4 linked regions of the Saccharomyces cerevisiae S288C genome follow. The protein of the gene in region 1 interacts with the protein of each later gene in a biochemical or structural test. Each region holds a gene or a part of one and is shown on either strand. Other genes may lie near its edges.

Region 1 (11,786 bases):
TCATTTTCATCCGATGAGTATAGTGCTGCAAGTTCTGTCTTTTGTAATGCCTTCTTAATTCTTTCACCATCCTCATCAATCTTCTTTTCCCCAAATAACTCATCTTCTTCGTTTTCGGAAGGAGCTTCTTCATCACGAAGCCCCATCGCATTAGCTTGCAGCATCTCCTTCTTGATTCTTTGTTCTGATTCTTTATTTTCTTGTTCATTACCATCTATAATAGGTGCCTCCTCATCATCGGCAAACTCTTCATCATAATCTAACTCTACTTCTGAATTGTCATCACGATCATCTTCATCCATAGCTTGTTGATCAGCGACGGCTTTAAGCTTTCTTCTTGTTCTGTCATATCTAGTTGTAGTTGTACCTATATTATCCAAATGCTTCATCAACCAACGTGGCACTTCACCACTTTTTTTGTCCATTCTTTTTTCTGCTTCGTCAATGGTCAAAGTAGCATATTTATTTCTTGCGGTAAACTTATAAACCTTATCAGCAGGAATCATGGTAAAACTTCCATCATCTTCTACACTTAACAAGACATAAGAATCTGAGTTACCTGCTTCATAAGAACCCACCCATGTATTGTACCCATCAAAATCTTCCATAACCCATGGATAAAATTCCTCAAATCTCAGCTTTTTGGCGTTCTCATCAAGAACTTTTAATTGACGAGTTTTCCTTCTCAAATTTCCTCGTTTGGCCCTACCGCCTCCATCTGGTGCCACATCTGCTAGTGGATCCATAGTTCCTTCTTCAAATTCCGGTTCGTTAGTCACTTCTTTTCCGTCGTACTTGACCATTCCAACTTTAGTAGGGTCTTCAGCTGGGCCTGCATCCTCTAGTTTTGTCACTAACGGCCTTCCGTTAGCTAGATTCGCTGTAGATGCATTGCCATCCAAACCGTTAGCTGCACTAGTTGAACCATTTGACAGTCCATTACTTTCAACGGCGGATACAGTAGTAGGACTAGCAGGAGGGACAGAAGAGCCAGTTACAGTAGGAATGGAGGAGTTCACACCGTTGGCCGTGTTGTCTTTAGTAACTGAATCAACAGTAGGTGTCTGAGACCCATCTTTAACAGTATTATTGAGCGAGACCGTTCCTGATTTATTCATACCACCCGAGTTAGGAGTACTTCTTTCTTGCTCTGCTTTTTTTTTATACTCAGAAATTTCTTTTTGCCTTTGAACAATTTCTGCTCTTGTTAGCTGAAACTGCAAGTTTCTCGTATCCTTCCTATGCAGTCTTACGGGAAGATGGAAGTCTGTTACAGGGTTTATCTTTTTTTTACTCTGAAACTTCAAAAGATGTGTCCTCATGTTTTCTAAATCCTCCTTTGGAATAGCTCTTAAGGGAAATTCATTATATTCATTAGGATCTTCGTCCTTTACTTTAACATTGCTCCTGCCAGCATCGGCCTCGACACCGATTTGCAAAAGCATTTTCTCTCTCTCTTCAGCATACTCAGGATCATCCTTTTTGACAAGAGATCCCCTGCTGTTGTCTCCATTTGGTACGCCTGGGGAACTAGAATTGCTGCCGTTTTGACCCATTCTCATCCTCAGGAAATTTCTTCTCATTCTGTCTCTTTTAATGAAGGGAGAGGCATTCGTCGGACCTCCCCCGTTTCTACTGCCTGGTGGATTGCGTCTGGACATCCTTGCGCTTACTCGAATAGGCCTCCCTAGCTATTCTTCAACCTTTCGAACCATCCATACTTCTTACTATCATAATTTTTATTTTATCATGGAGGCGAGAAGGTCCTTATTCGAGCATCACTAAGAACGGAACTCGAACATTTACAAAGTAGAAAAATTTTATGAAAATTAATTGTTCTTTCTTCAGAATACAAATTAGTCATTGTCAAAAAGAGATTAGCATCCATAACCGCATACTCTAATTGACGATAACATGTCCTCTGCTGCCACGGTTGACCCTAATGAGGCGTTCGGTCTCATTACCAAGAACTTGCAAGAAGTCTTGAACCCACAAATCATCAAAGATGTTCTCGAAGTACAAAAGAGACATTTGAAATTATACTGGGGTACCGCGCCCACTGGAAGACCTCATTGTGGTTATTTTGTTCCTATGACCAAGCTTGCTGATTTCTTGAAAGCAGGTTGTGAAGTGACTGTTCTTTTAGCAGACTTGCACGCCTTTTTGGACAACATGAAGGCGCCATTGGAAGTGGTGAACTATAGGGCCAAATACTATGAATTGACCATCAAAGCTATCTTGAGAAGCATCAATGTTCCAATTGAAAAGCTAAAATTTGTTGTTGGCTCTTCTTACCAGCTAACTCCAGACTATACCATGGATATCTTTAGATTATCCAACATTGTTTCACAAAACGATGCTAAAAGGGCAGGCGCTGATGTTGTCAAGCAAGTCGCCAATCCATTATTGAGTGGGCTTATCTATCCTTTAATGCAAGCGTTGGACGAACAATTCTTAGATGTTGATTGCCAATTTGGTGGTGTCGACCAGAGAAAAATTTTTGTCTTAGCGGAAGAAAATTTACCAAGTTTGGGCTACAAGAAAAGAGCACATTTAATGAACCCTATGGTTCCAGGTTTGGCTCAAGGTGGTAAAATGTCTGCCTCTGATCCGAATTCAAAAATCGACCTTTTGGAAGAACCAAAGCAAGTTAAGAAAAAGATCAATAGTGCATTTTGTAGCCCCGGTAACGTCGAAGAGAATGGTTTACTGTCATTTGTCCAATATGTCATTGCACCAATCCAAGAATTGAAGTTTGGTACAAATCACTTCGAATTCTTCATTGATAGACCAGAAAAGTTCGGTGGTCCAATTACCTACAAATCCTTCGAAGAAATGAAATTGGCTTTTAAAGAAGAAAAATTGTCCCCACCTGATCTAAAAATTGGTGTTGCTGACGCTATCAACGAGCTATTGGAGCCAATCAGACAAGAATTTGCCAACAACAAGGAATTTCAAGAGGCCTCCGAAAAGGGTTATCCAGTTGCCACACCACAAAAGTCGAAAAAGGCTAAGAAACCAAAGAATAAGGGTACTAAGTACCCAGGCGCTACTAAGACCAACGAGATTGCCACGAAACTAGAGGAAACCAAATTGTAAGCATAGCTTAATCCGTTTTCACGATTCATAATATAATAAATAAGAAAAGATATATCATATAAACGTTATAAAATTAATAACCGGGTAAGTGTAGAAAAGTGATGCGACGGTTTATTTTCTCTTCCTCTTGCGATTGAATTTAACTTGCAGATAGTGACCATAAGGCAACTACCCAGTGGCAAACAGTTTTGATAACGCCCAGTACATCAACGAGCGAGTATAAAGACTTTGGTACATTTTAAAAAGGAAACATATATTGTTTTCATTGCTAGACCCTTTTAGTCTCACCTCAATAAAACTGCTTTATTCCTCATTGGGCTTTTTATTCTTTAATTTTGCATACTTATAGCGTGAAACTGGGCATTTAACAAAAGCAAACTATTTTAATAGTAGCATCCTGCTTTCTTTGCCCCTCCTTCTTATTGCGATACATTATTAAGTTTTTTTACCACCTTTCTTCCTTTTTCTTCGCATCTTCGGACAAAGGCAGTTGAAGTTTACTGTATCCTATTAGTTGACTATTTTCTCTCACTGAAGTCCCTAATCTTTACAGGTCACACAAATTACATAGAACATTCCAATATGTCCGTTGCTGATGATGATTTAGGATCTTTACAAGGTCACATTAGGAGAACACTGAGGTCTATTCATAACCTCCCCTATTTTAGGTATACGAGAGGTCCTACTGAAAGGGCTGACATGAGCAGAGCCCTTAAAGAGTTCATTTACAGATATCTATACTTTGTCATTTCTAACAGCGGAGAGAACTTACCTACTTTATTCAATGCTCATCCAAAACAAAAATTATCTAACCCAGAGCTTACTGTTTTTCCTGACAGTTTAGAAGATGCTGTGGATATTGATAAGATAACATCTCAACAAACTATTCCGTTTTATAAGATAGATGAATCCAGAATAGGAGACGTCCATAAACATACCGGAAGAAATTGTGGGAGGAAATTCAAAATAGGGGAACCCTTGTATAGGTGTCATGAGTGTGGTTGCGATGATACTTGTGTGCTTTGTATTCATTGTTTTAATCCAAAAGATCATGTGAATCATCATGTTTGTACCGATATATGTACTGAATTCACTAGTGGAATTTGTGACTGTGGAGATGAAGAAGCTTGGAATTCTCCACTTCATTGCAAAGCTGAAGAACAAGAAAACGATATATCGGAAGATCCCGCCACAAATGCCGACATAAAGGAAGAAGATGTATGGAATGATTCAGTGAATATAGCATTAGTGGAGTTGGTTCTTGCAGAAGTGTTTGACTATTTTATCGATGTTTTTAACCAGAATATCGAACCTCTACCCACAATACAGAAAGATATCACTATCAAATTAAGAGAGATGACACAACAGGGAAAAATGTATGAAAGAGCGCAGTTTTTAAACGATTTAAAATATGAAAACGATTATATGTTTGACGGAACAACAACAGCAAAGACGAGCCCCTCTAATAGCCCTGAGGCATCTCCATCGCTTGCGAAAATCGATCCCGAAAATTACACGGTAATAATATATAACGATGAATATCATAACTATTCGCAGGCTACGACTGCCTTGAGACAGGGGGTTCCAGATAACGTACACATTGATCTATTAACATCCAGGATTGACGGAGAAGGTCGAGCAATGTTGAAATGTTCACAAGATTTATCATCTGTCTTAGGTGGTTTTTTTGCTGTTCAAACGAATGGATTAAGTGCCACTTTAACATCGTGGTCAGAATATCTTCATCAAGAAACATGCAAGTATATCATCCTTTGGATTACACACTGTTTAAACATACCAAACTCCTCCTTCCAAACCACTTTTAGGAACATGATGGGTAAAACCCTGTGTTCAGAATACTTAAATGCAACAGAATGTCGTGATATGACACCGGTGGTGGAGAAATATTTCAGCAACAAGTTCGATAAGAATGATCCCTACAGATACATCGATTTATCTATCCTTGCAGATGGCAATCAAATTCCTTTGGGTCATCACAAAATTCTACCCGAATCAAGCACCCATTCACTTTCACCATTGATAAATGATGTAGAAACTCCAACATCAAGAACATATTCTAATACAAGATTACAACATATTCTTTATTTTGATAACAGATATTGGAAAAGACTGAGAAAAGATATTCAGAATGTGATCATTCCAACGTTGGCCTCTTCAAATTTATACAAGCCCATTTTCTGTCAACAGGTAGTCGAAATATTCAACCACATCACAAGATCTGTGGCATATATGGATAGAGAACCTCAGCTAACAGCTATAAGAGAGTGTGTCGTACAGTTATTTACATGCCCTACGAATGCCAAAAATATTTTCGAAAACCAAAGTTTTTTGGATATTGTGTGGTCAATTATAGACATTTTTAAGGAGTTTTGTAAGGTGGAAGGTGGTGTATTGATCTGGCAGAGAGTTCAAAAAAGCAATTTAACAAAGAGTTACAGTATATCATTCAAGCAAGGGTTGTATACAGTTGAAACTTTATTGAGTAAGGTACATGATCCTAATATTCCATTGAGACCTAAGGAAATAATATCTCTATTAACTCTTTGCAAGCTCTTCAATGGAGCGTGGAAGATAAAGCGTAAAGAAGGTGAACATGTTCTTCACGAAGATCAAAATTTCATCTCCTATTTAGAATATACCACCTCCATTTACAGTATTATTCAAACAGCGGAAAAAGTTAGCGAAAAATCAAAAGATTCCATTGATTCAAAGCTTTTTTTAAATGCAATAAGAATTATCAGTTCATTTCTAGGCAATAGATCACTAACATACAAGTTAATATATGATTCTCATGAAGTCATTAAGTTTAGCGTAAGCCACGAAAGAGTTGCATTTATGAATCCTTTACAAACAATGCTTTCATTCCTTATCGAAAAAGTGTCTTTAAAGGATGCATACGAAGCGTTAGAAGACTGTTCAGATTTTCTGAAAATATCGGATTTCTCTTTGAGATCAGTTGTATTGTGCTCTCAAATTGACGTCGGGTTTTGGGTAAGAAATGGTATGTCTGTGTTACATCAAGCATCGTATTATAAAAACAATCCCGAATTAGGTTCCTATTCCAGAGATATACATTTGAATCAGTTAGCTATCCTTTGGGAACGTGATGACATTCCGAGAATAATATACAATATTCTTGATAGATGGGAATTACTAGACTGGTTTACAGGTGAAGTTGACTATCAACACACTGTCTATGAGGATAAAATTTCATTCATCATTCAACAATTCATTGCCTTTATTTATCAAATATTGACCGAAAGACAATATTTTAAAACTTTCTCTTCTCTAAAGGATAGAAGAATGGATCAAATCAAAAATTCAATCATTTATAACCTTTACATGAAACCCCTTTCGTATTCAAAGCTACTAAGATCAGTTCCTGACTACCTAACTGAAGATACTACCGAGTTTGACGAAGCACTTGAAGAAGTCTCTGTTTTCGTTGAGCCTAAGGGCTTGGCCGACAATGGTGTTTTTAAATTAAAAGCAAGCTTGTATGCAAAGGTTGATCCGTTAAAGTTGCTGAATTTGGAAAACGAATTCGAAAGTAGTGCAACTATTATTAAATCACATTTGGCTAAGGATAAGGATGAAATAGCAAAAGTTGTACTAATACCCCAAGTCTCAATAAAACAGTTAGATAAAGACGCTCTCAATCTGGGTGCTTTTACAAGGAATACGGTATTTGCCAAAGTGGTCTATAAACTACTCCAGGTATGTCTGGATATGGAGGATAGCACTTTCCTGAATGAGCTACTACATTTAGTTCATGGTATATTCAGGGATGATGAATTGATAAATGGTAAGGACTCTATACCAGAAGCTTATTTGTCAAAGCCTATATGTAATTTACTCTTGAGCATAGCCAATGCTAAATCAGACGTATTTTCCGAGAGTATTGTCCGTAAAGCCGACTATTTGTTAGAGAAGATGATAATGAAAAAACCAAATGAACTTTTTGAGTCATTAATTGCCAGTTTTGGCAACCAATACGTTAATGATTATAAGGATAAGAAACTACGCCAAGGAGTTAACTTACAAGAGACAGAGAAGGAACGAAAAAGAAGATTGGCCAAGAAACATCAAGCAAGGCTTCTAGCCAAGTTTAACAATCAACAAACGAAATTCATGAAAGAACATGAGTCTGAATTTGATGAGCAGGATAACGATGTTGACATGGTCGGTGAAAAAGTATATGAATCGGAGGATTTTACCTGCGCACTATGTCAAGATTCCAGTTCGACCGATTTTTTTGTGATACCTGCGTACCATGATCATTCCCCGATATTTAGACCTGGTAATATTTTTAACCCAAATGAATTTATGCCCATGTGGGATGGTTTCTACAACGATGATGAAAAACAAGCTTATATTGACGATGATGTTTTAGAGGCTTTGAAGGAAAACGGTAGTTGTGGATCTAGGAAAGTATTTGTATCCTGTAATCATCACATTCATCATAACTGCTTCAAGAGGTACGTTCAAAAAAAGAGATTTTCATCAAACGCGTTTATATGTCCTTTATGCCAAACATTTTCGAATTGTACTTTACCTCTTTGTCAAACCTCAAAGGCAAATACTGGTTTGTCGCTAGATATGTTTTTGGAATCAGAACTTTCTTTGGATACATTGTCAAGGCTCTTCAAACCTTTTACTGAGGAAAATTATCGTACAATAAACTCTATATTTTCGTTGATGATATCTCAGTGTCAAGGTTTTGATAAAGCGGTAAGAAAGCGGGCCAACTTTTCGCATAAGGACGTTTCTTTAATATTAAGTGTGCACTGGGCAAATACCATTTCAATGTTAGAAATTGCTTCTAGGTTAGAAAAGCCATACAGTATTTCATTTTTCAGAAGCAGGGAACAGAAATACAAAACTTTAAAAAATATATTAGTCTGCATTATGCTGTTCACCTTTGTCATAGGCAAGCCAAGTATGGAGTTTGAACCGTACCCGCAGCAGCCCGATACTGTTTGGAACCAAAATCAACTCTTCCAATATATTGTTCGAAGCGCTTTATTTTCTCCAGTTTCACTTCGTCAGACTGTTACAGAGGCGTTAACAACGTTCTCTAGACAGTTTCTAAGAGATTTTCTTCAGGGTCTTTCTGATGCAGAACAGGTTACCAAATTGTATGCTAAAGCGTCCAAAATTGGGGATGTTCTTAAAGTAAGTGAGCAGATGCTCTTCGCCCTAAGGACCATATCTGATGTACGAATGGAGGGATTGGACTCCGAAAGTATTATTTATGATCTAGCTTATACCTTCCTGTTGAAGAGTCTTCTTCCTACGATAAGAAGGTGCTTAGTCTTTATCAAAGTGCTACACGAATTAGTGAAAGATTCTGAAAATGAAACGCTGGTCATCAACGGTCATGAGGTTGAAGAAGAACTGGAATTCGAAGATACCGCCGAGTTTGTCAATAAGGCATTGAAAATGATTACTGAAAAAGAATCCTTAGTCGATCTTTTGACAACGCAGGAGTCCATTGTATCGCATCCATATTTGGAGAACATCCCATATGAATATTGTGGGATTATAAAACTGATAGATTTATCAAAATATTTGAATACTTACGTTACCCAATCTAAGGAAATCAAGCTACGTGAAGAGCGTTCTCAGCATATGAAGAATGCGGATAATCGATTAGATTTCAAAATATGTTTGACATGTGGTGTCAAAGTGCATTTAAGAGCGGACCGCCATGAAATGACCAAGCATTTGAATAAAAATTGTTTTAAACCATTTGGCGCCTTCCTGATGCCCAATTCAAGTGAAGTTTGTCTCCATTTGACACAGCCTCCTTCTAATATTTTTATATCTGCACCATATCTAAATTCGCATGGTGAAGTTGGTAGAAATGCCATGAGAAGAGGTGATTTAACCACCTTGAATTTGAAAAGATATGAGCACTTAAACAGATTATGGATTAACAATGAAATTCCAGGTTATATTAGTAGAGTAATGGGTGACGAATTTCGAGTGACTATACTTTCCAATGGTTTCTTGTTTGCATTTAATAGAGAACCAAGGCCAAGAAGAATACCTCCAACAGATGAAGATGATGAAGATATGGAAGAGGGAGAAGACGGGTTTTTTACGGAGGGAAATGACGAAATGGATGTTGATGATGAAACTGGACAGGCCGCCAACTTATTTGGGGTTGGCGCAGAAGGTATTGCTGGTGGCGGAGTACGTGATTTTTTCCAATTCTTCGAAAACTTTAGGAACACTCTACAACCGCAGGGAAATGGCGATGATGATGCACCTCAGAATCCCCCACCAATATTGCAGTTCTTAGGACCTCAATTTGATGGAGCTACTATCATAAGAAATACAAATCCAAGAAACCTCGATGAGGATGACTCTGATGATAATGATGACTCTGATGAGCGAGAGATTTGGTAGATTCAAGCCCTCTACTATGTTTTATAGTTGACATATTTGTATATAAAAACTTATACATTATTAAACATTTGCGCGTCGATTGACTTTTATTTATTATTAACAAAGAAGTAATACCAACCTAATTACAAATACTTCGAAGTGACTATCATAAGTTTCCTTATCTAGCGAAGGCAACTTTTGAACTCCCCAGTTGTTAATATGTATCATTATACACGACCCAATCAAACGCGGGGAAGTCAATGCCGAAAGAATTCTAGGACCTAAAAGCTGCTCAATCCTTGGGCCTTTCCCTAATGACATCCCCTCTCAAACTTTAGCTTAGCAGTTGTATTTAATGTCCTGTCACGGATAGTCAATAATCGTTGAAGGTTGATTTTCATATCCTTCGCAATTTCGTAAAGCAACAATAGCAATACGGACTAAAATGGTATGTTGGTGTGTGTGTGTGCTGCTTCACATTTCAGGCTAAAAATGTTATCCGTGGAATCTTCCTTAGCCAAGTATCATGGGCTTTGGAAATTAGTTTCCCACCGATGAGCGCAACGACTTAGCGAAGCTTATGAAATTGGTGACAGCAGCTCTATGAATATGTTCCATGCGTTTCCATTCAGGTTACTAACAATGCATAAATTATGAGTAGTCTTTTTCATCACTATATAAAACCTTTTTCAAACGAAACGCTGTTTTTGTTGGTACTATCTTTGCAGGTGCCTTTGTTTTCCAAACTGTATTTGATACTGCTATTACTTCATGGTACGAGAATCACAACAAAGGAAAATTATGGAAAGATGTCAAGGCTCGAATAGCTGCAGGCGATGGAGACGACGATGATGAGTAAACGCTGATTATGTCACACATATACGTGCAAACGCTCTCTCTCTCTCTCAAGCTATATAAGTGGCACTCGTCTTATTTATTATTTTTTTATTTTGGCTGGTTGTTCATGTTCAACCCAACCTCATAAAGGCACTCAACTTCATATTTTGACACAAATCTATGTCTCGCCAAAGCGCATTCAAATTTCAGAATGGAAATAGACACGAACGAGCCTGTCTGTCAGATGTTCACAAAATCCTTATTATAATTTTATATTCTACTAAAGGAAAAAGAGAATTAGGAAAAAGAATAACTCATTTTATGTATATACATATATTTTGTACATATCTATACCAAGCAAGTATAGTGCAATACTGTTCTTCGACGTTATTAAACGTAATAGCATTTTCTTGGTATCCTTTGAATCTTATATACAAGTACGAGTACATACTGCGCAGTAAATTGATCCTGATGGTGTGTTTAGATTTCGCCAGAAGCGGAGGCGTTCTGGATTCTGGAGATGTAAGCCTTTGATATGACATTCCAACTTCTCATATATTTAGCCAAACACTGGTCAATGCACGCATCGTTTCTGGTAGCGTATGGCGAAGTTAAGCATTTTTCAAAGCAGTTCTCAGAAATTTTGTTCACTAATTCAGTCGCATTAGCCACAGCCAGTTCTTGAGCAATTTGGTTTTTCAGCTCCTTGGCTATAGGGTTTGGGGTTGTCTTTGCAGTAGTGGCTGCTTCCTTTTGTTGTGATGGTGCACCGCCGCCAAAGATAGATGATAGACCCATTTTCTTGATTAAATAAGCTCAAACTGTTGTTGGAGAGAAAAGATTGATTGGTTTGAACTGACAGATATCCTACTTGAATCCTCTTTTTGTCGATTTTATAAATCTTAGGACCTAGGATTTTTTTACTCTTCGGCAACGCCAGGAAAACTAAGATACACCGGAAACAAGAGGAAGGAGATCAAGAATTAGCGTTGGCTAGTAATGTGACTAAAGGGGAAAGACATTGCTCTTTATTCGCTTATATTTTATTTGTTGTATTGATATGATCTCTTTCTGAATCTGTAGCGACCTGTCAAATCGTCAAGGGTATGGTTTAATGAGGAAGTGAAACCATAGCGCTAGCGCCAGTTCCAGGTTTGATACATAGCAAATCTATCATATGTACTCATAAATGCCATTTCAGAACTCATTTAGCAGTTTTGTTTTAGCTTGAACGTTATCAGAATTCTTGCGGGTAATACACCGGTGCAAAGTCCATTATCGACGGGAGAGATAACAGATGCAGGCTCCAAGAAAAGTGGTCATGGCTTTTATCACCAGGACAAACTAGCAAGGACAAACATTTTATTCGGATGATTGGATTTAACGGCTGGGCGAGTGGGTGATACCGCGGTGTTACCATCCTCTCGGTTACAACG
Region 2 (6,692 bases), on another chromosome or scaffold:
TTTTACCTAACTCATATAATGTTTGTGGAGAGTCACCCTTTTGGGCAGCTTTATCAAACCATTTAATAGCTAGCAATACATCAGTCTTTTGCATGTTCAGACCGTATAAATGGCTCATCCCTAATTTATACATACACGCAGAATTTGAACAAACTTCTGCGCCATGCTGGTAGTATTGGAAGGCCTTTTTTATGCATTGTTCTTTGGTTGGTGATGGATCCAAAGAAGAGGTGCCCCTTTGGTATTCAAAGCATACACCTGCACGGTAGCATGCATCTGAATTGTTCAATTTCGCAGCTTTACAATAATATTCCAGCGCCTTTTCATCATTTTTAATAACGATGTTTTTGTTCTTTATAGGTAAATAGGGTTGGTGTGAATACAGCGTCCCCATTAAATACATGGCAGGTGGCCATTTTAAAGTTATCAATTTTGTGAGCACCTTGAATGAATGTTCCAAAATGACTTTCTGGTTTTTGAGCATTTCCTCAGGCTTTAAGCTTCTTTTGAGCTTCTCCGCGTTTATGTTATATTGCGATATGAAATCCTCATTAAAGGCATATGTAAGTAATGTTTCACACCATTGCATTTGTATCTCGGGGGTGAATTTTGAAGAGTCAGTAATTGTCTTCTTGTACACTTGATAGAAAGCCAATGCCTCTGGTGAATAGGAAGACAGTTTGTCCTCACCACCTGAGGACCCATTATCGTCTGTCTTCGCGCTCCCAGTGGGTGGTTGGTTGATTTTTTGTGGTGGAACAGGATTATTATTCAAAGGTCGTATTGGAGCTTTTTCCTCGGTTCTGTAAACTTTTTCCTGCAGTATCCTAGATTCAGATTCCTCATAGGGTGGTGGCGCTGAGTTGTCCCTTACAGACTCTGATATTCGATTTCCACTGCTTATTGATGCATCTTGTACAGCTGGTGAACCCAAACTCTCTTTTGTAGAACTAAAATTGAAAGGAAGTTCATACCTACTACCAGTACTGTTGGTGCCATTATTGGCATATCCTATTTCACCTGTTGGCTTGGAATTAAAAATGTCCATGCCGTTATTACTATTTATGGTTACTGGAGTGCCTAATTGACCACCATCAGCATTCCCGTCTGTGAAATTCAGCGCACTCAAAGGCAGCGATAATGATGAGGAAGATGAAGGGGATGTAAAAGGAATAGCTGGTGTGAGTTCAACGATAGAGTCATCCACTGGATAGGGTGCAGGCACTATATTTTGAGCTGGCAAACCATGCCTATCCGAATTGGCATTTCCCAATTTATGCGAGGACTCCCGCGCCCTTGCTGGTGGAAACATGTTAATGTGTTTGTCATAGAGGTTAGGTTGCGGTTGGCCCTGATTAACCATTGCCTACTGTATTAAAACAAAGTATTAAAACGTGGTGGTACACTCTGTACAAAAGAATAGAAGGAAATGAAAAGAAAACGGAGTTAAAATCTACTTCATAAAAAGAGACGCTTCCAAATCCAGTCTCTACCACGTTCTTGTATATAATTTGAGCAACTCAAATTAAATTACCGGGATATCTGCTTATTCTACAAGCCATAGCATCCAGTGCTAAGGTTCATCTCAAGCCATCTTCAATACACTTGATAATTAGTCGTCAATTTTAAAATTAGGTTTCGTTCTTGAAGGCACTTAACCTAAGCTTTTTACTATATGACCTATTAAACAAGTCTTTTTCATAGTGTAACCTAACGTTTATACACTAATAACCCTAGGGCTTAGTAGAGATTCATACAGAAAAAAACGTAGAGTTATAGCAGTAAACTGAGAAAAGAAAGAAGGTTAGTACAATTGAAGAGTAAGGAAAACAAAAGCTTTAGACCTTATTGGAAGTGCTTGGGCGCGGAGTGTGATTATAAATAATGTTGCAGCTAAGGTTTATGCCTGGATGGGTCCCCAGAAATGGTTTTTTTGGTTTGAAGGAGACAATTGGTACAGTACATAAGAGATTTTATGCTCTGGCTTCTGAACAACCCTCAAGAAAGACAGTAAAGCCGCTGGACTCGAGGAAGACGTTTCTCATCGATACATACAAGCATTTAATGGAGAACAGTTCTATGATTTTTTTTGTCCATTACAATAATCTTTCCAAAACAGAAGATCACCATTTCAGATTCAAGATTAAACAGACAGGAGGGAAACTCACAAAAGTAAGAAACAACCTGTTCGAAGTCTACTTGAGAAATTCGCATCTGCCCGACCCATGTGGATTCGTGAAGCGTAAAGAGCAAAACTGGAAACATCCACTCTTGCCACTACTGAAGGGTCCTACGGCCACAATTACATACGAAGACACCAACCCTCAACAAGTAGCCAAGCTATTGAAGGTTCTGCAGTCAGCACAAGACAAGCTGATGGTGATTGGTGCAAAAGTAGAAAACGAAGTTTTGAATGTGGAAAAAATAAACACTTTTAAGACTCTCCCCACAAAGCCGGAAATGCAGTCGCAGTTAGTCAGCGTTTTGCAAATGCTAAGTGGGTTGGGTTTGGTTCGTACGTTGGAAAACAGTTCAAATGCATTGTATTTAACACTAAAATCTCACAATGACAACCAAAAACCTAAAGAGGATGTGGAGTCAACTACAGATGCAGAATCGAAGGGATCAAAGTAAAAAGAAAATGCCCGTAATTCGACAAGTTTTATAAAGGTTTTACTATTCAATCATGTACATACATCATCAAAAAATAAAAAGACAATGAAGCAATAACGGTAAATATACTTTAGTCTATGTATTGACGTCAAAATTACCTTTCTTTTACCTTTCTTACCTTTTTACATATCTCAGCGACCGTTGAAAAAAAAAAAAAATGAAAAATTTTGGTGATGACTTCAGCAAAAAATTTCAGGATATTTCTGACATTTCACTTTATTAAAGCGCCACAAAAGCTGGATTAGTATAGATTCAGCAGTTCCCATAGGATAAAATTTTCAAGCGTTTATTGTTAAGATGAAAGCCAAGCCACTAAGCCAAGATCCAGGCTCCAAGCGTTACGCATACCGTATAAATAAGGAAGAAAATCGTAAGGAGTTGAAGCATGTAAAGATCAATGAAAGTTCTTTGGTGCAAGAAGGCCAAAAGATCGACTTGCCAAAGAAGAGATATTATCGTCAAAGGGCGCATTCCAACCCATTTTCAGATCACCAGTTAGAGTACCCAGTATCTCCCCAGGATATGGATTGGTCCAAATTGTACCCTTACTACAAAAACGCGGAAAATGGACAAATGACAAAGAAGGTGACGATTGCTGATATTGGCTGTGGATTCGGTGGGTTGATGATAGATTTATCACCAGCCTTCCCTGAAGATCTTATCTTAGGGATGGAAATTCGTGTGCAGGTTACAAATTACGTGGAGGATAGAATTATTGCCTTAAGGAACAATACAGCTTCAAAACATGGATTTCAAAACATTAATGTCTTGAGAGGTAACGCTATGAAATTCTTGCCCAACTTTTTTGAAAAGGGCCAGCTTTCTAAAATGTTTTTTTGTTTCCCCGATCCTCATTTCAAACAAAGAAAGCATAAGGCAAGAATTATCACTAACACCTTGCTGAGTGAGTACGCATATGTTTTGAAAGAGGGCGGTGTCGTGTACACAATTACAGACGTCAAAGACCTGCATGAGTGGATGGTAAAACATTTAGAAGAGCATCCTTTATTTGAACGGTTGAGCAAAGAATGGGAAGAAAACGATGAATGTGTGAAAATAATGAGAAATGCCACAGAAGAAGGTAAAAAAGTGGAAAGAAAGAAGGGTGACAAGTTCGTCGCTTGTTTCACAAGATTACCAACGCCAGCCATATTGTAACATAGATGTATAACTAGAACAATTTACCACATATACATAACTATTTCTTATGTTTATTTTCCTAAAATCCTTTATCCAACTACAATCTACTAAGGCTTAAGCTATTTTCCTTTTCATTATTTAATAACTGTTCTTTCAGTTTACAGCTCCATTTATATCCGGTTAATTTTCTATTGCTACCAACGATTCTATGGCAAGGTACTAACAATGCCAGGTTATTTGAGCCGCAAGCTCTTCCGACAGATCTTGCGGCAGTTGGCTTCCCTATTCTCTTTGCAATATCACCATATGTTACGACGTGGCCGTGTTCCACGTTTAAAAGCTCATTCCAAACTTTACGTTGAAAATCTGTTCCAAACAGGAACTCAAAGGGAATAGCGCCCGATGGTAATGGCATTTTGTTTTCTAAACATATTGTATAATTTTCGATTGATTTCTTATATGTTTCTGCCTCTTTTAGTTCCTGTAAATCGTACATTGTATCCTGTTTCTCATGTTTCTTCAAGAAGCCTTCCACCTTTCCCAATAAAAAAAGCTTATCATTACCTAACGAGGCAAAAACAAGGTTTTGAGTCTTTTCCCTAAACACCAAAAATGCACCAGTCACTTCAGTTTCAATGAATGTATAGTAAAGCAGTTCCTTCATCGTTGGTCCATTTAGATCAAAAATGCGACCGTTTTCAATTTTTTTTTTGTGCATATGCTATATCATTACTTGATTAATCTTCCTTGTTTCCACCGCATTTTAAATGCCCTGCCAGGCCAATAGCGCCGTGCCTTTTTTCTAATGACTATAATAAGAATATGTATGTAGGATAAAACTAAACATTTATACTTAGGATGAAGCAAATATTTTTATGAGGCCATACTAGGCAACTGCCATGTCTCCAGGCGAATTCTGGCCTCCACCTGAACTGGGTTTATTCGCAGCAATGTTGTCGCTGATATTTGGATCGGTTCTGTTATGAAAACTGAAAAATTCTCCAGTCCTTGATGGTCCTGAATCAGATGTAATGAAATAAACATTTTGTGCAGAACCGTGTGTCTGGTTCGATAAGTTTCCGTTTTTGGGTAGAATCTGCTCATTTTGAATAGATGAATAGGCTTGATTATTTTGTTTGATACTACTTCCTAGAGTGTTTATCTGATACGCGGAAAAAGATGGTGAGGAGGAGAATTCAGAACCGGTATCGTCAAAAACATCATCATGGTTACCGCTACCGTTTCCGGTAGAATCATCATCAGAATCTAACCTTTCGTCACGGGTTTCTATAGGAAAAATCTTCAGCACAAATATAATGGAAATAAAGGAAGATAAAGATGGAATAAGATAAAACTTCCAAGACAGACGGTCAATAAGTATAGGGGTTATTAAGCTGACGAACCACTTAAAAATCCAATAAAAGTTTGAGACTAGTAGTATCACTGGGGCCTGTGACAAGTGAGGTAGAAGCTCAATGGTCATAACCCATCCTATAGAATCCCAACTGATGAAGTGCGTAAAAAGAAAAACAGCAAATAGTATTGATATATACCTCGTTGTGCTCTTGGGAAACCAGTCTGTAAAAGATATGGTAAATAGCAATGCACACATCACAATCGAACCTAAGAGTACATTCGTTTTCTCTTTACGTTTCCGTAACACCAAGGGAACATATGCTAATATTACGATGCTGTAAATTAAAGCATTAAGCCCCGTTAAATAGATAGATTTTCTTTCTCCTCTCCCCATTTGTTGTAATATTAACGGTGAGTAATACAAGAAAGCATCCACTCCATTTGTTCGTGTGAGAAGTTGGAAACCTATCAACAATTTTATTATTGAAGAAAAATCCTTTAAGATATACGCATATGGATAGGAGTTTTTTTGAAGGTGTGACTTTAATAATATGTCTCGTTTCAGGACCCTAAATTTCAACTGAGTTTGGTTTTCTTCGAAATTTCCATCATCGAAAACATTCGATATTAAAACCAATGCCTCTACGTCGTTCTTTTGCTTCAACAGCCACGAAGGGGACTCTAAAATAAGATAGAACGACATTAGGTTTAGTATTATTCCAAGTGCCACATGTGTTGACAAAGGGTATCTCCATGCAAAGCCCAAATATCTGAAAGCACAATTAATCCATATTCCGAATGAATACGCAATGACACTAGAGACGCATTGAATGGAAATTAATGTCCGTTTTCTTATACAGGGAAGGGGAAACTCGAATTGATAAATTATTACCATAGAAAAGGCAAAGCCCATACCTACTCCGAGTAAGAATCTACCCAGTAGTAAACACCATTGGTTTAGAGCCAAGACCTGAACAATGGCACCCAAAGAGTATATCATTGTGCTTATTTGGAGCATTTTTTTCCTGCTACAAGGCTCCAGGATGCCAGAATAGACAAATAACGACGCCATGAACGCACCCAGATTAACAATGCTCACTATATTGCCCAGCGGAGAAGTAAGTGGGTAATGAAAATACTTCTGGAACGACAAAGTCATAACGTTACCAGATATGAGGCCTTGGTCCAACCCTGACAGCGAGGAAACTAGCACCACAAAAGATATAAACGAAGTACGCAAAACTCGACTGGAATGCCTTTTTTTCTTACTTCGTAGTTGTGAGATTTCAGCCTGTTGTAGTAATTGGCGGTATGGATCATCCATTGATAATCTAGGGGTATGTTCAGAAAGCGGCAAAACCACAGTAGCATCGCTGTCTCTATATAGAGAACCACGACGCGAGCTATGAGCTGTGATGTTGTTCTCAAATCTGAATATGTCGGGGTTCTTGTGGGGCAGTGAAGTTAGTGCGGTATCATCCTGTTTACTGTTAAAATCCTGTGCTAGCTGATGTGCCCTATCA
Region 3 (7,123 bases), on another chromosome or scaffold:
CGATTTCGTATGTGTTTTGAAAATAACGTGGTGATTCCAGTAAAGAAAAATGTAGTGGATCCGCTAGCACAAATGATTTCCCTGGCCTCTGAGAAATTCGATTTGTTCTTAAGTAAAATAGGTAATGTTATGGTAATGAGGAGAATATTTTACATCATGATGATGTCTATCATTGCAGCGTTGATTATTGCGAGTGATAGGTTACCGAATGGAAAAGCTCGAGGTTCAAATGGATCATTCTCGGACCATGATCTCCTTTTACAGTATGCTCGGAAATCGATAGACCTTTCAAAGATAGAAAGAGATTTAGAGTATATTAGTAGTATGCCCCACATGTCAGGAACAAGTGGTGATGCCGCTATTAGACATTATATTAAAGAGTCGTTCGACAAAAATGGTATAAGGCTAGCTGGGGAAGAGGAGTTCATGGCGTATTCGAATTACCCAGGAAATGTCTCACTTCGTGTATATTCAAAGGATGATACAGAAGGGTTTGATATTCCCTTAAATGAGGAGAACTTTAACCCAATGAGCCATAATGGTCAATTGAACAACATACCGGTGATTTATGCTAATAAAGCATCGTTGGACGATATGGCTTCTATGCAAGATCAAGGGCTTTTAAACGGTGACTTTATTTTACTAGTGCATTACGGAGATTATGTTTTCCAACAAATGTTGACTGCTCAAGAATATGGTGCGAAAGCAATTATCTTTATTTCTGAGCCTTATCAAGACAACAAAGACGTGATACAAATGAAGTCAGTTGCGTTGCCGCAGTATGGTACTGGTGATGCACTTACGCCTGAATGGGAAGGATCAATAAGAGATCCTATCGATGCTACGGAAGCCAAGTGCCTACCCAAAATTCCATCCATACCGATATCTGCCAATCAAGGAGATAAAATACTAGCTATATTATCAGACACTGGCGTAAAGTTTTCTAATAATTTATTCAGTGGGTCGCTTAACGATTGTCGACTTGACCTACTAGTGCAAACAGCAATTAGGGAACGCCACCCGGTTCACGATATAGTTGGTAAAATTGAAGGATCGGAACAAGCGGGCAGGGCAATTGTTATTGCTGCACCGAGGAACTCTGCTAGTTATGGCACTATGTATCCTTCTTTTGGAACCGTCGTTTTGCTGTCTCTGATCCAATTATATCAAGAAATGGTTTACAAATTTGACTGGAAGCCTCTAAGAAATATATATTTCATTTCCTTTGGGGGCTCTGAATTTAATGAAGCGGGAGCCACGGAGCTGATGGAAAAGAGAACAGAGGCATTGAAGAGTGAAATATACACCATTATCGACGTCGGCCAAATCGGTATATGGGATGATAGTAACAATTTAGAGATACAATGTCATCCGCTACTAGTAGATCTTTTTCAAAAAAACATGACAAGCCGTAAATTTAACGTTAAAGTGGATAATGTTCACCAGTTCGGCGACTGGACGCCGTATCTAGCGCAAGGGATTCCAGTTGCGATCATTTCATCTCCAGGAGTCATGAATAGAGAACATCCGATCTACACAGTAGAAGACAAATTCGATTTCATCAAAGATAAACTAAGAGACAAAAAGAAGGGAGAGGTACTTTCTGAGATAATGCTATATCTTGTCGAAAAATCACTCGAGCTCATTGACGATCCATTCATCCCATTCAGCATATCGAACTACGTAGATTTCCTTTCAACTACGTTAAAAGACCTCCAAAAAGAATGTCCTGATACGGTAAACTTTGACGAAGTCTTTTTGGGCACAACATTGTGGGAAAACACTAAACTGCAGTTCGAAAAATGGAAAAGCGAATGGACAGAGCTTATGTATGGAGCCGGTACATATATAGAACCCACTATCATTGCCATTAATCGTTGGTCATGGAACTACCTACTTTCCCTAATAGGCGTTACCCAATGTTTGGAGGAAGGGTTAATGGATAGAACCTTTTACAAGAACGTTATCTTCGGGCCAAAACTCTGGGTCGACAAAGGTGACCCACTTCGTTCATGGACGTTCCCTGAAATCAGGGACACTATTGCAATCAAGGACTGGAGCTCTGTGCAGGTTCAAGCTAACACACTCGGCACAATTTTACAAAATACAGCACGCTATTTTCTTGAGAATAAAAACCTTCATGGAATAAACACGAACGAATTTTAGTTATCGGTTGAAAGAAAATTACACATCGATTTATGCAGGCAATCAACTATAGTATACACAACATATACTCCTATGACTTGTAGATTTCTTGCCTAGGAAGACTAAATACGTTTAATTCTAAGATTAGGAGCCCATGCATTTAAAGTTGCTTTTTGCCTGTGCGGGACAATTTTATTAGTCAGTATGGACATCTCCGCGGGGAATTTTTTTATCGGCAGAGCTGTTTAGACAAAGGATATAGATAGTATAAGGTGTTAGTACACACATTTCAACATAGTTATATTAGGAAGATTGCCACAAATTTCCTCTTTTTTTTTTTTTTCTTGTTTTTATTACACCTCCGCCCCTTGAATACCTTAGAGGTTAAGAAGTGAAATGCCAAGAGAAAGCCTAATAGGACACACAGTATTTACCACGGGAAAAGCGCGGGATATTTGAATCAGCTGGAGATTATTATGTACGCCATGTATATTTTTAGAGACGGCTTGTAACGGGTGCCAAGATATTCCATATTTTTATGTCTCAAAAAGGAAGAAAAGAGCTACGAGCACGTGCAAATATATGAACTTCAACACCTGTAGAAACTCGATAGTGAATAAATCAATCACAGTGCTTTCCTTGAAATAAGCTTCTGTCTGAACTTTAACAGTGATTTTTTTTTTATAGAACAGGCCTTTTCATCTGCAGAGATATGTCTAGTCTCGTAGGTTTTGACTCGTAACTTTGACTTCTGCATCTGGATCGTCAAAGCAACCCATACTTGACTTGATTACATTAGCATCAAAGAAAATCGTGCCAACGCCTTTTAGTCATGTCGAACGGTAGAGGAGGAGAAAGAGGGAGCTATCAAATTTAAAATTCGCAAACAAGCTGTTGAGAGCGACATAATAGCAATATTGTCGGGCCCCTTAAACACGTTTCATTAGTGTTTTAAGTGCCAAGCCAATGTGTTAGTAAGCTTGTAAAGGAATGCACGTATTAGAAAGTGAGCAACTTAAAAGTGAGCAAATATGATTAAAGTAGTATGCCTCCGAAGCTCGTCTTGTACTGCAAACTAAGCACAGAATATGCCGCACAAATGTCGGTGCCTATTATACATATGCTTTTCGTTATGTGTCTTAACAGACCTGACCGTTAACGGCAACAGAGAAAAGGAGCACTACCGACGGCTTTTTGCTTCTGGCCTATTTAGTGCCTGAGAATTTTGTGCGTGTTTCCTAGTGTCCGGCGGGCTTGACCTAGTCCACACTTCCAACAAGCACAAGCAGCGTGCTTCCTCACACTGGCGAATGCACCCAGAGTCGGCGTTGCCCGAAGTAAGAACCCTACCGCTACTCTGGCGCAGGCGCAGAGGAGCCACAGCCCTTTAAGACGCAAAAAAAGTAAAGCGGCAAAAGAAAAAACTGTCACTTTCGGACCGTTGGGTTATCCACGGGGTTTTCTGAGCACTCATGATCGGTAGCGGTATATTTCTGATCTCGCTCATTTTCTGTCAAATCGTCCTGATAATGGACGAAGACTGTACGTAAAGGGCAATTTTAAGAGACACAAAAGAATCCCACGAGAATTACTACTGTTGATTTTTGTGATTGGCTAGATAAGAAACCTTATCCGCTCACGCGCGTATTACTTCCTTCTTCGGATTCAGATTTCTTTCTGTGGGAACGGGTCATTTCTGCCATCTTACGTCTCTCAGCTTTTCTCTTTTGTTGAACCTTAATTTATTCATGTACATCAAGCTGTAGTTTGTTTTTTTCTTTTGGTAATTAATTTTTGTCCTTTTGTTTTCTTACAGCGTGTATATATTAATGATTAATTTTCTATGACTGATTTCGTCGCGCCCGGCGTTTTCTTGTCTCTTAATGCCTCCTGTTTCTGTTAATTGGTAAGATTATGTTAAATTGGTCAAGATATATACTAATACAATTTTTTAGTTGATCTTCCCACCCTTGTTTTCAAGCGATACCACGCCTATCCAGTGCTACTGATCGCTACTTGCCGAGCCCCTACTTTTATGCTAACAACCTTCGAGAATAGTTACATTCGAAGATGAATTATAACTGCGAAATACAAAACAGGAACAGTAAGAATGTTGACAATCAAGTCAGTCTACCCCCTATCCAAGTTCTATTTAACTCCATAGAAAAACGGAGTATGCCCGAGTTGGCATTTTCGAACATAGAATACTCGCATGGGAACCTTCGGTCTAGTACCGAGGAACAAAACTATCCTGCGCCTGTGTTACTTCCACAGCATCATTCGATTGCGTATCCCGCAATTAATTCTGGCGGTACTAGTACTACTGCTACTCCTACTGCTTCTACAGTTGAAACGTCCAAGACGAGTAGCAGTGCTATGGATACACAATCTCAATATGGCAGTTCAAAGAAGTCAAAATCGGCGTCCGATGATGCAAAGCCCTGCTACAAATCCGCCCCAATATATGAAATAATCAATAAGGAAAAGGATGCGGGGGCACAATACAACAGGCCATTTTCGGATTTTGTAGAATCTAAATCAAGGAGGAAGCAAAATTCGGGCAGGAGGTCTAACCTGCCAAAGGAAACAGTGCAGATACTGAATACTTGGTTGCTGAACCACCTGAATAACCCCTACCCAACTCAACAAGAAAAGAGGGAGTTGTTAATCAAAACTGGGCTAACCAAGATTCAACTTTCTAATTGGTTCATAAATGTGAGAAGACGCAAAATATTTAGTGATTACTATACCCTGGTAAACTCAATTCCTAATGACAACGCGAATAATACCCCAGTGGAACGAGTTCAAAACGTCTCAGCATATCATAACACATTATCTGCCACAAATAATACTATGTACGATGCTACGTCAACCTGCTCCACGGATTATGAATTATCCAAGAGATTTGCTCATGCCCCCGTTACACGCCGTAAAAAACTAATTGATAGGCTGGAAGAATTGAAAAAGCTATCCAACCCTGATATGAATTGATCACTTATCAATGCATTACTTAAATATTCATATAATTATATCTATTACCATTTACATTTTATCGTTACTATATATAGTATTATCATGTCATTGAACGTGTTACGTCTATTATGTTACACTGATTTTTTTTTTTTTTTTTTACATAACAGCATCATGCAAGCCTTTAAAAATAATGTAGGTATGTATATATACAATAATATATATATATATATATATATCTGTGTGTAGAATCTTTCTCAGATATAAATTGATTGATTCTACTGAGGTACGTAGTTATCATCTTCTCTTTCTTCATCGAAACCTGGTCTGAAAGTACCCATTGCATCAGGAGGAGGGATATAATTATTCGTATTAGATTGTGAGCTACTGTTATCAAATCTGGAATGTGGTACGCCGACACGCTCTGCAAATGGAATGGCGAAGCCACCTCTGGATGCATCAAAATCGAACCTCAATTCATCGCTGACTTGACCACCGCTCTTACCACGACCAAACTGTCTTCCATCTTCAAAACCAGGATCTAGATCAATGGTAATTGTCTTTTCGTCTAACTTTGTATCGGACAAATATTTTAAGGCATTCAATGCTTCATCTGGACAACTATATATAATAAAACAGAAGCCACATGGCGTGAACTTAAAACGGTCCAAACCCATAATTATTCTTTTTATTGTGCCACATTTACTGAATAATTCGTAAATTTGTTCTTCTGATGTATAAAAGGAAAGATTTCCTACATAAATTGTGGATGACTTCATCGACTCACGCAGTTCTTGTAGCCCGTTAGGGTTTCTTCTAGCCTTGCGCAGCAGGTACCTTGATGGTGTATCTAGGCGTTTAGTTGAATGATCATATTTAACTTCGTCAAATTCTTCCAGGGACATCTTTCCCTTTATTTATTGGTATATTAATGGATGCAACTTTTATTCGATATTAGTCCTTTCGGGACTTTAAAAGCTGTCGAGACACTTTCTCCATATAAACTCATGTTCTATATTCATACATATAATATTTTTCTTGAAAAAAACACAAAAACTGTTAAAGCGGGTAATACTTTGATAAGCACTTATTAACGTTTATACCATACACTACTTCATACACCAATTACAAATCTATTAGTGGTATACTTTTACTGTAGACAATGTGGATTTTGATGTAATTGTTGGGATTCCATTGTGATTAAGGCTATAATATTAGGTATATAGATATACTAGAAGTTCTCCTCAAGGATTTAGGAATCCATGAAAGGGAATCTGCAATTCTACACAATTCTATAAATATTATTATCATCATTTTATATGTTAATATTCATTGATCCTATTACATTATCAATCCTTGCGTTTCAGCTTCCACTAATTTAGATGACTATTTCTCATCATTTGTGTCATCTTCTAACACCGTATATGATAATATACTAGTAACGTAAATACTAGTTAGTAGATGATAGTTGATTTTTATTCCAACATTTACTGGTACAATAGGTGTATGATATTTTCCCAAAGTTTAAATTTATATAATATAAGTGGCTTGTGCATTAATGCTCTTGAACGAAACTGGATAACGAAAACTGCAAATACTTGTAGTTTTAAACAGACACTTTCTGGGATAGGTCTATCAGCGAAGCTTGGGAATGTTTCGCCAAATTACCTGTATCCTTTCATGAGCGTGAGCAGGTTTAGGTCATGGTCACATCTTATTATATAAATTCTTTCAGAAGATTGTCAATTGTCCATCTATCGCCATAGATTATCTGAGAGCGAAGTTCCATTATGTCTACTAGTAGAAAATAATTTGAAGTTGAAATATAATAGCATTACAAAATTTTTTCTTTATATAGTCCGGTCTTGAAGAAGGATAACAATATTAAGTGTATGAAGACACAAGAACTTTTTCTTGGAAATTTGGATTTTTATGGGAGGAAACCTACAGCGGCAATGTATAATTATGATTAGTTCATCCTTTGCTGCCATCTGTTCGCAATTATTCA
Region 4 (6,781 bases), 470 kb from region 1:
GTTTCAAATTATCTTCTTTAGTAATACTTGAGTCACCAGTCCAGATTACTTAGCCTATCTTTCTTTATCGCGTTTGATTTTGGCGTTTGTTTGTAATTATTATTCTTTTTTCCTTCGTTTCGCTGTGAAACTAACTTGCGCTGAGGTCCAAAAACCTCTCATCTAAGAATAAAGGAAAATACATATTATCCTGGGTCTAAAAGGCTAAAAGAACTCACCGTCAAGAGGAAGGGCTCAGAAAGTATGGGTGAGTCAATTGAAACAATTTGTAAAAGCCTTGTCAGGGCTTTCCAAGAGGAGAAGGATGATTTTGTCTCACTTGTAACAATCATTGATATGTACAACGAGCAGGTGAACTCTGGAAAGTCTATAAAAGAAAAGGAACGTTATTTGGATGCCCTATTGAAAATACTTAAGGATAATCCAGTTACCTTAAAGGAAATTGGCTGGGATCTGCCAAAGGGTTTATTGCAGTTTTTCTCACGCAAAAACATCAATGTCAATATACATCTAGTTTTTAGTCCCCTTGTTTCTAGTGTGATGGAATGCTTCAATGAGCTAGCCATCAATGGAAATCCGAAAGAATGCTTGTTGACCGCTTGCGAATTGGTGTCAACACTCCATATAGTCTTAACTGAAACTGGCGACTCCGATGAAGAGAATGAAGATTTAAATGACTCCAATAGAAATGATGCGTCAAACATTACTGATGAGCTGTCAGTTATCACTCCGGAGATTGGGCACTATATGGCCAAAAATACAGTAGAATTCATTCCAAATTTGAAAATTTACGTTCTCTTTGAATTTATGAGTTTATTGTTGAAACGTGTGGACACTTTATATCCATCTAAATTTCTAGCCATGGTAACTTCTGCAATTATTAAGTATGTAACAACCAACGTTCAGGCTATGGATGATCCACACTTTATTTTGCGCATAGTGTACAATTTTTGTACTAATTACTCTCCAGCTCAACCATCTGCTAGTCTGACCGATGGTATTAGTACAAACGATCTTGAAAAAATTCATGATGATGAATCTGCCTTACAGAAAAAACTACTGGCTAATCTGAGCGTATTCGTGATTAGCAACTGCCTAAAAAATCATCCAGGTAATATTGACAAGATATATTTCAAAACATTGATGCATAAAAAAACAGATGAAAATGAAATCGATGCTTCAGTTTTACAGATATGCCACCAATACTACGAGTATGTCACATCATTGGATGTCCACATGAAAGAACTTTTAGAAAAGTGCCTGGTAGAATCAAGAAGCATCTATAACTCTCTTCTCATGAACCCGGCCGCTTCCACGCCCGAATTCAAAGAAGAAATTAACCAACTAGTATATGAGGTATCTTACGCATATCAAATCAAGAAACTAGCTGACGAAAAGAACTTAGAGCTGGACCAATATGGAGTTGTGATTCTATCTGCAATACATTATTCTAAAAATGGTACTCACTTATTGCCGCAAATTGATATCCAAAGCGCAATTTACCTCTATCTACGGTGTACGACAGCTTCTTTATTTTCAGAAATATACGAAAATAAGTTTTTGGAAAGTTCAGTACGCTACTGGCTATGGGTATCCACAACCGAGACTTCCACAGAGAAAATAAAGTGTGCCTTACAAGAACTTCCAGGGCACATTACCACGGCCTTTTTGCAGATGTTACTGATGAAAACTTGCAATGAATCTAATAACGACACTAAGTTGACCGAAATTACTCTTCTGAGGAGGTTACTCTATCTCATGCCCGAAAGCACATCTTTTACGTTCATCTTTGAAACTCTACTACATTGTCCATATATAACTGCAAAGATTGCTGTTCTTGACATTCTAAGAGATATGATGATTAGATCTCCTGAGGCTGCTAATCGTGACGAAACTGTCGGTTTAATCGAACAACAGAATCCTGGGAATACCGCTAATAGTGTACCGATAATGCCAACTCTACCTCCAAGACCTTACATCACTATTAATGAAGATCGCATGGCTTCCATTCATAGCATTGCTTTAATATGTTTTTCTGCCGCCAAGCAAAAGAAAAGAACGCAAGGTGATTTACTCTTGGTACTAACATATATGAAATTTTTTGTTAGTTTAAGGAACAAATGGGATTTGGGTCTGTTAACACTCATCAATAAAGAAATCTCCGAATCATTTCAAGGAGAAGGTGAGCCTGAATTAGCATTCATCAACATTTCCAATAATACTCTGGGAGAATATATAGAAGAGATGAACATACGCTCGTAAACTACATAGTAAATTAGTTGCTCTTCTCTTTTGTTCCCGAGTAAATCGAATTATTCTATTAAAGGGAAACACTATGTTTTGAGTCATCCAAACTTTCATTTTTTTCAGATTTCATCGCCCGATCGTCAAGGAATAAAAAGGGAAGGGATGGGATACTTGCATTGGAACCCAGAAAGTACGTAAAAGATGAAGATCGTGAGAGATTGGTCAATGGATAAATAGTTCTGTAATTATGTCTAAGTATCAAATTAATTGCATAAGATACCGGCACTTTCTCAGGACATCTAATATCTCGCAGATCCCTGATTTCACGAAATACTGCATTGGTCCCGTAAATGAAGAATTGGCACCTTACATCATGGAAACCATGAAGGCATACCCTTCAAATTCCGAATATATCAATCCGCAGCATTACTATCATAATAGAACGGTATTAGTAGAAAATTACTTAAAACGAAGTCCAAATCCAGTATCATTAACGCAGTTAGCGCAATATTATGACGATTCTACCAAGCTGACCAGAACCAAGATCATCAATTCCGGGAAATTTGTAAAAGAAGAACTGGTAATTAGGATCGCGCATAAATTAAATCAATTGCAACAACTTCCATTTAATGTTGTGAACAACTTCCATTTTGTTCAAGTTTATGAGTCATATTACAATATTTTTGAAAGCTTTAGAAAATATCCGACTATAAGAACTTTAGAGGACGCTTCTCAATTTGCAGATTTTATCAAAAATATGCTAGAAGGCTTCAATACTCTAAACTTACCACATTTGATAATGGGGGCTTTAGAATGTACAATTTTGGATCTTTATCCTCGTGAAAAAATGGACCAACTACTATCTGATCTGTTAAGAGCTCGAATATCAAGAAGATTGATTGTAGAGGAACACGTCAGTATCACAGCCAACTACACTAGTGGTAAGGAGGAAAATACCTTGGTATTGGGTGATATTTTTCAAGAATGTAGCGCTAAAAAATATTTATTGGAAGCCAGTGAGGAATCTCAAAAATTTATCCAAGATATGTACTTTAAAGACATTCCCATGCCAGAATTTATTATCGAAGGTGACACTCAACTAAGCTTTTACTTTTTGCCTACACATTTGAAGTATTTGTTAGGGGAGATCCTTCGAAATACTTACGAAGCAACCATGAAACACTATATTCGTAAGGGATTAGAAAAGCCGGAACCAATCATAGTAACTGTAGTAAGTAACGATGAATCCTATTTGTTTAGAATTTCAGATAAAGCTGGGGGCGTCCTCCATGATGATGAAAATCTATGGTCATTCGGTAAATCGAAAGAAAGGGCTCAAGAATCCCTAAATAATTTTCACAAGTTACCTGGTTTACAAACAGTATCTATTTATGACGAAGTACATTCCCATACTAAATATAACTCCAAACTGAAGTCATTGCAGTCAATAACATTAAAACCGTACATGCACACGTCGCTAGAACCAATGAGTTATCCTAGCATCATAAATGGGCACATCAAATATGAAACTCCCCTAATTGAATTGTTAAAGCGGTCTTTTAGATACAAGCTTGGGATTGGGTTAGCCATGTGTAAAGTGTATGCTGAATATTGGAACGGCGACCTTTCATTGCATTCAATGCCTGGATATGGTACCGATGTTGTATTAAAATTAGGCAACTTGATGAAGCATACGAAGAAACTACAATTAGATAAAGTGTGAGCTAACCATGCTTACACTATATACCAAGGAACAAATACATATTCGGAATATTAGTATGGTGACTACATTTCCCGGATTAGTGTATGTATATACAAAAAGGCACCTCCGGGTAGCCGGAGTAGAAAGCTGGAAAAATAAAAATGAAAGCGAATGGAATGTGTAAGAGAAAAAAAGGAAAGAACTATCAAGTTGCAGAGTTGATGACATAAATAGTAGAGTGGAAAATCAACGAAGATCGAATTCCAAAGATTATTTTTAGGCAGACAGAGACTAAAAGATAAAGCGTCATGTCCACACCAGCTAGAAGAAGGTTGATGAGAGATTTTAAACGTATGAAGGAAGATGCCCCACCGGGTGTATCTGCTTCACCATTACCTGATAACGTCATGGTATGGAACGCCATGATTATCGGGCCAGCCGATACTCCATATGAAGACGGAACTTTTAGGTTATTGTTGGAGTTTGATGAAGAATATCCCAATAAGCCACCGCATGTCAAATTTTTGAGTGAAATGTTTCATCCCAATGTCTATGCAAATGGTGAAATTTGTTTGGATATTTTGCAGAACAGATGGACTCCAACATATGATGTCGCATCCATATTGACATCCATTCAAAGTTTATTCAACGATCCAAATCCAGCTTCGCCAGCAAACGTTGAAGCTGCAACATTATTCAAAGATCATAAATCACAGTACGTCAAAAGAGTTAAGGAGACGGTAGAGAAATCTTGGGAGGATGATATGGACGATATGGACGATGATGATGATGATGATGACGACGACGACGACGACGAAGCAGACTGAGAAAAATCAAAAGAATCTTAATGATGAATGCCGAGCCGATATTATGAATTCGATTACCTTTTTGTTCAATCAAATATAGGGCTTCATCGTGAGTTTCTTTCTCTATCGATCCGTTTGCTTTCTATTCCTCCATCTTCTACTTTATACCGTAAAGAAAATTTAATAATGATAGAAACATTGCATATAAATAATATACTAAAAAGAAACACTGCTCTACCATAAATTTCTTTGGAGAAAATAACGTGAAATGAGAAATAAGGACAATTTGTTATCGGTTATAACTGCCGATACCCGTATCTTTTGTGTTTGATTCAAGGAATACTTATTTAGAGTAGAAAGAATATATTTACTTAGATAACTTAATGTATAATATATAAAAAAAATCAAAAAAACAGGAAAAAAAAAAATCATGAGTGAGTGGCACTTTTAACTGCAAGAATGAAGAGTGACCCCATTTTTTTTTATTCTGATATTACAGTACTCTTCTGTGCGGGCAGCTCCTTCGTTTTTTGTTTTGCACTTTCATCCAACCACACATATATGGAAACAAAAACGACGAATGAAATTATAGCTTTGCTGAATGGATCTATGCTCTTCCAAGTAAACCTTTTATCATCAAGATGAAACACCTTGACCACGTTTTGCACATCAGCAGGTAGTATATTTGCGTTTTTGTTATTTTGTAGGAGAAACCAATTATATTCGATGAATGGAAGTTTCAAGAATTGGGACCTAACTGACGGAGAAGAGTTTGTCAGGACAAATTGAGTTCGAGGTCCAAGAAAGCCAAATGACTTGTAGTACCACAACTGAATGAAATCTTGCTTTAGATCATTCCAGTTTCCTCGCATTTTCTCATTTATGGCAAAATCCAATAAATCTAAGTCATTACCACTTAACTTAGGAAAATTCTGAAGTAATATATTCGTATCTATCAACTGATTGTTATGTGTCGAAGACGGATTGAAGAATTTGTTCATAATGACACCAAGCTCGCCGTTGTTTAGACGCTCAGTTAATAAATGATCGCGTTTCAAACCACTTGTTTCGTCTTCATCTAGATCTGGTGCACTTGGCTGCAAGACGCTAAATATCTCGGACATGGTCTGTGAGAAGGAAATGGGGTTTTCTGTAGATGTAGTACTGCCATTTTGAGCTAACCGTATTTTCTGCTTCAAAAGCAGTGAAGCCGGTGGAATTCTTTCTAATTTTGGTTGATAAAATCTCTTTACCAAAAGATTTCCTGCGACTGCTTTAATCATGGGACCGATTCTGAAGGCTCTATGCGATTTTAATCTGAAGATTTTAACATTTGACAGTACCATCTCAATCGGACCTTTTAACTGATTTTAGCGAGAACATGTGTATATATTTCCTCTAAGAAAAGAAAGGGCCTAAAAACCTCGCCCCAGTGCATAATAAAAGTAAAAAAAAAAAAATCAAACTTTATTGGGATAAAATAAAAATCAGAAAAACCCTTATATATGTATATGTAGTTAAATGAAGCCAGTTTTTTTCGTCTGGTTTGTTTCAGCCTATATGCCCTCTTTGCTTTCTTGCCATCTGCGGATCAATTTCCTTATGATGCGTTTGTTTTCTTGCCAAAACACTTAATATGTCAGTCAATGACACAACACCTATCAATTTACCTGTTCTATACTCCTTTTCGAAATGTGCTGGAGTTGGAGATGCGGGACAATTACTTGGACTTTGAGGTGGTGGCATTGTGGCCGATGGAGACTGTGGTTGAGAAGGTGAGGGACCACTCAAATTTATATTTACATTTATTTTATTGTTTGATGTATCTGAAGATTTTAGAACAGGAGAGTTGGCCATCCTGGAAGATTGCGTGTTCGAATGGTATGACGACGCAAGCGATGGCAATGTCGTTACGGGTGGAGTACTTGGTGATGGAGATGAGGATTTTTCGGAAGATGCTGTTGGTTGATTGTCATTTGGTTGTACTATCCATAATCTGTGAGATTTGGTAGCGACCAATTTGGCA

Evidence for each region.
Region 2: of the proteins of UBR1 (region 1) and MGT1, one has a biochemical effect on the other in vitro, tested with the Saccharomyces cerevisiae proteins (3 studies listed by BioGRID, with this or other methods).
Region 3: the proteins of UBR1 (region 1) and CUP9 form a complex in vitro, tested with the Saccharomyces cerevisiae proteins (5 studies listed by BioGRID, with this or other methods).
Region 4: the proteins of UBR1 (region 1) and RAD6 form a complex in vitro, tested with the Saccharomyces cerevisiae proteins (10 studies listed by BioGRID, with this or other methods).

What each region holds. Positions count from the first base shown.
Region 1 is NC_001139.9:857,649-869,434, reverse strand, and holds UBR1 (E3 ubiquitin-protein ligase UBR1), read left to right. Parts: upstream 1-3,681; coding exon 3,682-9,534; downstream 9,535-11,786. Other genes in the region: transcription factor IIF subunit TFG1, read right to left, coding at 1-1,661; tyrosine--tRNA ligase TYS1, read left to right, coding at 1,915-3,099; QCR9 (ubiquinol--cytochrome-c reductase subunit 9), read left to right, coding at 9,959-9,961, 10,175-10,372; protein translocase subunit TIM13, read right to left, coding at 10,831-11,148. UniProt on the Saccharomyces cerevisiae protein: Ubiquitin ligase protein which is a component of the N-end rule pathway. Recognizes and binds to proteins bearing specific N-terminal residues that are destabilizing according to the N-end rule, leading to their ubiquitination and subsequent degradation.
Region 2 is NC_001136.10:96,591-103,282, forward strand, and holds MGT1 (methylated-DNA--protein-cysteine methyltransferase), read right to left. Parts: upstream 4,478-6,692; coding exon 3,911-4,477; downstream 1-3,910. Other genes in the region: ACK1 (Ack1p), read right to left, coding at 1-1,363; mitochondrial 54S ribosomal protein uL10m MRPL11, read left to right, coding at 1,885-2,634; TRM8 (tRNA (guanine46-N7)-methyltransferase), read left to right, coding at 2,971-3,831; YDL199C (uncharacterized protein), read right to left, coding at 4,700-6,692. UniProt on the Saccharomyces cerevisiae protein: Involved in the cellular defense against the biological effects of O6-methylguanine (O6-MeG) and O4-methylthymine (O4-MeT) in DNA. Repairs the methylated nucleobase in DNA by stoichiometrically transferring the methyl group to a cysteine residue in the enzyme.
Region 3 is NC_001148.4:211,055-218,177, reverse strand, and holds CUP9 (Cup9p), read left to right. Parts: upstream 1-4,215; coding exon 4,216-5,136; downstream 5,137-7,123. Other genes in the region: TRE1 (Tre1p), read left to right, coding at 1-2,166; nuclear cap-binding protein subunit CBC2, read right to left, coding at 5,394-6,020. UniProt on the Saccharomyces cerevisiae protein: Probable DNA-binding protein which plays a role in protecting yeast cells against copper toxicity. May regulate the expression of important copper homeostatic genes.
Region 4 is NC_001139.9:389,729-396,509, forward strand, and holds RAD6 (E2 ubiquitin-conjugating protein RAD6), read left to right. Parts: upstream 1-4,257; coding exon 4,258-4,776; downstream 4,777-6,781. Other genes in the region: YBP2 (Ybp2p), read left to right, coding at 337-2,262; protein kinase PKP2, read left to right, coding at 2,495-3,970; GEP7 (Gep7p), read right to left, coding at 5,238-6,101; SDS23 (Sds23p), read right to left, coding at 6,307-6,781. UniProt on the Saccharomyces cerevisiae protein: E2 ubiquitin-conjugating enzyme that accepts ubiquitin from the ubiquitin-activating enzyme E1 and transfers it to a E3 ubiquitin-protein ligase.